Canis lupus familiaris: one gene and its partner. The protein of the gene in region 1 purifies or fractionates together with the protein of each later gene. This does not show direct contact. Links are inferred from orthologs where the notes say so. Each region holds a gene or a part of one and is shown on either strand. Other genes may lie near its edges.

Evidence for each region.
Region 2: the proteins of TCP1 (region 1) and WDR5 purify together in Homo sapiens (affinity purification with mass spectrometry; 3 studies listed by BioGRID and IntAct, with this or other methods). This does not show direct contact. The link is inferred for Canis lupus familiaris from reciprocal best matches to the Homo sapiens genes TCP1 and WDR5.

What each region holds. Positions count from the first base shown.
Region 1 is NC_049222.1:49,585,044-49,588,484, reverse strand, and holds part of TCP1 (T-complex protein 1 subunit alpha), read left to right. Parts: intron 1-44; coding exon 45-142; intron 143-294; exon of another isoform or gene 295-434; intron 435-518; coding exon 519-629; intron 630-906; coding exon 907-1,088; intron 1,089-1,481; coding exon 1,482-1,608; intron 1,609-3,441. UniProt on the Homo sapiens protein: Component of the chaperonin-containing T-complex (TRiC), a molecular chaperone complex that assists the folding of actin, tubulin and other proteins upon ATP hydrolysis.
Region 2 is NC_049230.1:50,410,320-50,414,132, reverse strand, and holds part of WDR5 (WD repeat-containing protein 5), read right to left. Parts: 5' UTR 3,793-3,813; coding exon 3,712-3,792; intron 3,063-3,711; coding exon 2,954-3,062; intron 2,660-2,953; coding exon 2,586-2,659; intron 2,196-2,585; coding exon 2,106-2,195; intron 1,910-2,105; coding exon 1,820-1,909; intron 1,624-1,819; coding exon 1,540-1,623; intron 1-1,539.

The DNA of each region.
Region 1 (3,441 bases):
TGCACATATTGTCAGACTAAAAGCAGTGAATATTTTCTCAACAGGTTATTATTGCAGCAGAACTTCTTAAAAATGCAGATGAACTAGTCAAACAGAAAATTCATCCCACATCAGTTATTAGTGGCTATCGACTTGCTTGCAAGTAAGATTGTTTGCATTCAGAGGAAATTTTACATTATGTGATGTTATAGTTGTAAATAGTCTGTGTTCTTTAAATGTTAATGACTAAATTTTATTTTGAAAAAGTGCTATTTTAGTAATAATATCTGGAGTAAGAATAAGGCTAGCATCTTTTTTCCCATTTGACTACCACATTTTCTCCCAATAATAGATTTTGGTGGCTATGCTTATGGGATAGATTAAAATTGCCATGATCTGAAGAGGGAGGATTTATTTGTGTCCTCCTCCTATATGAAATGGCCAAACAGAAAATTGGTGCCTAAGATATTTTGACACTTTGGTAAAACAAAGTTTGAGTAGTGCATTTACAAATGTTTTCTCCCACACACTTCAAACAGGGAGGCAGTGCGATACATCAGTGAAAATCTGATTATTAACACAGATGAACTTGGAAGAGATTGCCTAATCAATGCTGCTAAGACGTCGATGTCTTCCAAAATCATTGGAATGTATCCTTGTGATAAAATCTTGGTTAGTTTTTATGCCGTGTGATACTGTATTAAAATTGCTCCCTTCCTTGATTTTCTAGGGGGAGAGATGATAATAAAGTGTGTAATAGTACTATGAATTTCAAGTAGTGATAACTCCTGCGTTTTGATGGAGTTTTATTATTAATGCTTGTTTCTTTGATGAATTGCTAAAAGGAAGTGCCTTGGATTACTCTTGATTTTTGTGTGCACCTGTTCATTCCATGTCTCTCCATGTTCCCCTTAACCCTTGTCTTAGAAATGGTGATTTCTTTGCCAATATGGTAGTAGATGCTGTACTTGCGGTTAAGTATACAGACGTAAGAGGCCAGCCTCGCTATCCAGTCAATTCTGTTAACATTCTGAAAGCCCATGGGAGAAGTCAGACAGAGAGTTTGCTTATCAGTGGCTATGCACTCAACTGTGTGGTGGGATCCCAAGGTAAGGCTTAGGATTTAGTACTAAAAGTGAAAATTTGCTTTTTGTGGACTACTTACTTACTATACATCTTTCAGGTGGGCTATCCAAGACTTGCACCTACTTTTCTTCAGTAAAGCCCAGAGTAAAGGAAATCGTATATCCAGGTTTCCGGTTTCCCTTGTGTAACTTAGTACATAAAACTTAGGAGAAGTGCAATGCAAGTTAAAATTACCATTACGTGTGGTAATGGCCCTAAAAATTTGTTTGTAGAGTTAAATATAATAAAAATGTAAGTTTTTGTCTTTAAAGATAATTTAATATCTTTTGCTACTTTTGTGCTTAAGAATAGGTGTATTTTATAAGATGTGACATTGTTACAGTTCTTATAAAGGTATTCAATGTGTTCAATTATAGGCATGCCCAAGAGGATAGTTAATGCAAAAATTGCTTGCCTTGACTTCAGCCTGCAGAAAACAAAAATGAAGCTTGGTGTACAGGTGGTTATTACAGACCCTGAGAAACTCGACCAGATTAGGCAGAGGTATGTTTAGATATTATTTTTGACTTTTGGAAAAGGTGTTTATAAATTATGCTTGTTAAAGCAGGTAACAGTAAAGAAGTACACCCAAAAGGAGCGGGGCACTGGGGTGGCTCAGTGGGTTAAGCGTCTGACTTGTCTGACTTGGGCTGAGGTTCGTAATGGCATGGTCTTGGTTCTAAAAGGGAGTTCATGGACTCTGCTCAGCAGGAAGTCGGCCTGTGCCTCTGCCACCGCCCCCTCTCATGGTTGCGCGCTCTCAAAGAAATACGATAAAATCTTCTTTTAAAAAAGCACATTATACTTTCTAGAAAACAGCAAGTAAACCAGTTGCCAGGTAGCAGAGGATGATGATGATGCAACTGGATTTTTTTAAATGTGGATGTAAAAAACAGTAGTAACCAAACCTATAAGAAATCTTTGCCAGGAGTCAGGCATGCTTTTTCCTTTTGGATCTGCATGTGTGCTTTTTTCATTCCAATAAACAAAGTGTCCTTTCTTCCACCAAAGGTCAGGCTCTAGAGTATTATCAAACTGCATCTTCAATTACTAATTCTGTTTCTCATTCCTTTTCTAGATTCCACTTGCAGCCACTTTGTAGCTCTCATACCCAGAAATAAAAGCCTCCTGCTCCAGTTACTCCGTCTTTCCCCATCTCTTCACAGCTGGACGTCCTGGGTTTTTGTTTTATTTTGCTTTGTTTTTAATTTCACAAAATCAGTTTCCTGGTATTTTCCTTTCTCATTTCCTTTTCATCTCTGTTCTTCACTGGAGGGACCATTTGCAAAGGGCACTAGTGGTCCCTAGTGTAAAATTCACTAGACACTTAACAACCTTCGCTTGTCCTTTATCAAGCTGTTCGTTACTTCCTTCTTGAAACACTTGGAAGAGGCGGGGATGGGCTTTGTGATACAGCCCCATCTATATCTGTATGCCAGAGTAACTCCTCCTCACTCCTAGGACATCAGATAATATCTCAGTGCTGGACACTTCCAATTCTGTTTCTTTGCACTCCAGACACCTGTGAATACTCCTTATGCATCTCAAAATCAATATTTAAAACTGAACTTCAGGGCAGCCTGGGTGGCTCAGTGGTTTAGTGCCGCTTTCAGCCCAGGGTGTGATCCTGGAAACCCGGGATCAAGACCCACATCAGGCTCCCTGCATAGAGTCTGCTTCTCCCTCTGCCTGTGTCTCTGCCTCTCTTTCTCTGTCTCTCATGAGTAAATAAATAAAATCTTAAAAAAATAAAACTGAACTTCAGGTGGTACCCATAAATCGACTTGTGCTATTTTAGTGATGAGGATCTTCAGAGAAAACTAGGAAATATCTTTAATGCCTCTTTATAGTTATACCTTTCTCTTTTCTATTTATCTTCAAATTAAATCTCAGCTTCGTCTACTTTTCATTCTCTTGCCCAGACTGTTGTAGAGGAAGCCACGCTGGTCACCTGGGTTCACTCTTGTCCCCTCCCAGACTGTTTTCCCCACAGAAGCCACTTCATCCTCATAACTTCCAAGTCCAGAGCTTTATGTAGGTTTTTCATTGCTCTGCAGTAGGTGTTTTTAATTTCTTATATATCTTTTTTCACTGTGGTCCAGCAACACCCAGTACTAGGACTTACCAAACTCTTCCCCCGGTTGCTTCAGTAATGTTCTCTCTGCCTATGGCCTACTCTCTGCTTGTTTGGTCTGATTAATTTTTTACTTGTTTTTTTTAGCTAATCAATCTCTCAGGCTTATTTTTCTCCTTTAATCTAAATCCTACTTTACCATGAGTTCCTGTACTTGATCTTCCCGGCCCTTAAGCAGTTTTTGTGTGTTTGTAGGACTTCGA
Region 2 (3,813 bases), on another chromosome or scaffold:
GGAGGGCCATTTCAGAGAGGAAACTGATGCAGGAGTCCGGGCGAGAGAGGATGAGGCCAGACTCAGGAAGGAGGAAGCAAGGGACGGGGCAGCCAGCAGAGTTGGTGCCAGGGGCTTCTCGCTCCCAGATGGATCTACTTGGGAAACTAAGTGAACCTCTTTCACACGATGATGACCTCCTAAAGCTCACCGCAGAAACACATGGTGGGTAAAGTGGCCCAACGAAGATGCTCATCGCACTCCTCCATGAGAAATGCAAGCTACGAACAAGCACCTGCTAAGGCCCCAGCACAGAGTGCCCACTGCCCATGGGGGTCTATGGACACCACAGATGCCCGAGAAACCCTCCCACAGGGACGCACAATAGCTGTGGTCACCCCCACCACTTACAGGACAGATGGTGGGAGATAGCACATATTTAAAATATCAGAATACCCAGGGCGTGCGGGGGGGGGGGGGGGGGGGGGGCTACCAGCAGGGGTCCTGGAGGGCTCAGGAGAGTGACTTTCTCTTCACTGCATCCGTTTGTCTTTTTTAAAAAATGAGTACGTTTCACTTCCACAGAAAACAAAGACTCTATAAACCCTACCACTTAGGCTGAGGGTCCCACCCACAGCCCCCGCACCACCTCGCACTGCTGGGACTCCTGGCCTTCACTCAGCTTGCATCCTGGGTCCTGCCCACATTCACCACCATGCCCATCTCAAAGTCAGCTCTCCTGGGACTGGGGGTCCACGGCAGAGGGCAGAGCGCCAGGTGGGCCAGGCCCCCTCTCCACAGCACACTGCCTTCCTCGGGGCCCCCAAGGATGAGCCCCATCCACACTGGCCGGGACTCTGGGCAGCGAGGGCCCCTCAGTCCACTGCGACCAACACGTAATACATGTCCTCCATGTATCTGGGCTCTGCGAATGGTCTCAGCTGGGCAAAAAAGCCCTTTATTGCCTGAAAATACTTAAAATCACTCACCTACACGATTTCAGAAAGTGAAAAGGACCATCTGCTCAGTAAAAATAAGCACAATGTTTACACGATTCCTTCCCCTTTCCAAAAAAAGGCAAACTTGGCTAAGAAACAAGTCTAGGCTCTGCTGACAAAGAAAAAAATCTCTCGGCCACTTTCAAATGGAGGGTTTGTATTACAGCAGATACTTCAACTACGTACCTCATCTTGCACACTGCTAGCGTGTGCACAAGGCAGGACACAGCACACACAGGGTGCTCGTGGGGCTCCAACCCCCCCCCCACCCCAGCCCTTACCCTCGGCTAGCTCACCCCAGCTCATTCCACCACCACCCCAGGATCAAAGCCAACTCCACTCCAAATTCACTTCTCTGTGGCCACACTTCCCAACACACAGCCCCTCTTCCAGGCCTGGCTGCCCTACCTGTCCCACAGGATTTGGTTCAGGGACCAAACCCCTCGCCTGCCTCTCCTTTCACGGGCCCAGGATAGGGAGAACTCTCTCGGGGTCCCCAGTGCCCCCTCTCTGGCCATCACCCTGTCTTGCCATGTGGTGTCCAGAGCTCAGCGGGACTTACAGCTGAGACCGGGTCCGAGTGTGCAGGCAAAGTCTTGAGGCACTTCCCTGTTTTCACGTCCCATATCCTCACGCTTTCGTCAAACTGAAGACAAAGGAAGAGGTTAAGGCCACTCCACAGGGAGGTGGGAGAGGACAGGTCTTCTGGAACCCAAGGCCTGCCACCACGGCCCCCATCCCCCAGCAGAGAAGACTCAGGCTCAACTCCTAAGTCTCTGGCTACAAAGTACCACACCCCCACACCCCTACAACACCCCAGGGGAAGGGGGGGTTAGACTTACAGAGCCCGAGACAATGAGGTTGGATTGGGGATTGAAGTTACAGCAGAAGACGTAGTTACTGTGCCCCTTCAGGGTTTTCAGACACTTTCCCTAAAACCAAGTATCGTCAGACTGTTAGTCCTAGTGGTTATTTCAAAGCTGAGCCCACAGCGGCCCAATGGCACATACCCCACAGAGCAGGGCCACCCCATGACCCAGGGTCCCCAGACCCCCCTCGGACTCCCGCCCTGCCCCTTGTCCACGCACACAAGCTCTGCCGGGGCGGGGGTTGGGCAGAGCAGCTCACCGAGCTCACATCCCAGATCTTTAGGGTTTTATCATCTGAAGCAGAAACGAGGAGGTTGGAATCTGATGACCAGGCCACATCTGATATCCCCTGGGGAGCAAAGACACAGGGTCACCGCCTTGACAGGACAAAATACAGTTAACCAGCAAAGGTCAGAACATCCATCCAAAGATAAATAAGCACCTCACTCCACTACCCAAACCCTCTAGCTACTGCTGACCACACAGACGAAACACCGCACAGTCCCCAAAGGAGAGTGTGTTCTCTTGCAGTCAGGCAGAAACTTGTCTGGGAAGGTCAGAAGTACTTGCTTAAAAGACAAAAGGAAAAAAAAAAAAAAAAGACAAAAAGCAAAGAACTATCCAAAAAACTCCGGGGGAAAGCTTAGACCTTAACCTGCTGAGCTCTGGGGATGGGCCCCACCCACCAGTGGGGCTAAGGCGGCCAGTGGGCAACCTCCACGTGCAGGGATGAACCTACCAGCTTGTGACCAGATATGGTTTTCTCAAACTTTCCGTCATATGCTCCCCAAATTTTAATGAGCTTATCAGCAGCTGAAAAAAAGAAAGACAAAATAACTGTGATGGTACAGTCACCCCAAGGGCAAAATCCGGGCTGCCCACAACAGGAGCCCTGGAAACAGTGCAAATCCCATGGAAAGAAGTAGCCGGCACCGGAGTACCCTTCCCCTCTCCCCTGAGCACATCATCTCAGAGTGTTACGTAAAGGGCTCCAGCCCCTGCGACACCCCAGTGGCAGCATCAGAAAGCAAGCCCTCCCCCTGCTCCGGGCTTCTGGTGGCAGCACAGACTACCTTTGACAGGAGCGGAGGCCCTGGTGATACGTACATGAACTTGCCAGCCACTCTCCATTCGGGCTGAATTTCACGGAGGACACGGCTTTTGTGTGGCCAGCCAGGGTGAATTTTAGAGCGTAGTTTGGTTTAACAGGGGTAGGCTGTTGAAGAGAGAATACTAGTCATCAAACCATTAACCACCACCTTGCTTCAAACTCAGAACCACCTTCTAAGTTCCAAATCCTGCTAGAACTCTCTGGAAGTCCTTTCCAACTGGTCGTGTTTAAATCTGGGCTATTTCCCCTCGGCAGCCCTGCTTCTCCTGCAGCCCCCACCTTCGTGCCCAGCTCTTCCAGGACAGCTCAACACAGAGGCCCCTCAAGGCCTGACCCCACCCCAACGTCCGACACGCATCACCAAGTCCGGCAAGCACAGCCTCCCTCAAAGCAAACCTGAAGGCTGTAGCCTTGCTCAAAGGCCTGTATGTGCCGCCTGGTGTCCAGCAAAGGGGTTTGCAAACCTGCCTGGCCACCAGAACTGTGGACCAGGGGGATGCTGTATGAGAGGCTTTCTGGGTGCTGCAGAGATCTTACGATCAGGAACAAGGATCTATGTTGTGATAAAGCCCCTTCTCCGGGGGACAGGTCTGGGGATCCTCAGCACGGTAAACAAGCACTGATTAGGTCTGTGGCCCATAAATAAAAACACAGTGTCTAACTGAAGAGGGAGAACAGACTTGGAAGAAGCATCTCTGAAGAGTACTCGGCCTAGGCGCCCCTGGCAGTTCCCCTCAAGCCCTCAGGGACATGCCTTGCTCTGCGTAGCCGAGGAGGAAGGGGTGGGCTGTGCTCTGGCGGCCTCCGTCTCTGGCTTCTTCTCCTCCGTTGCCATGGCTCTGAAGCCCACCAGGCA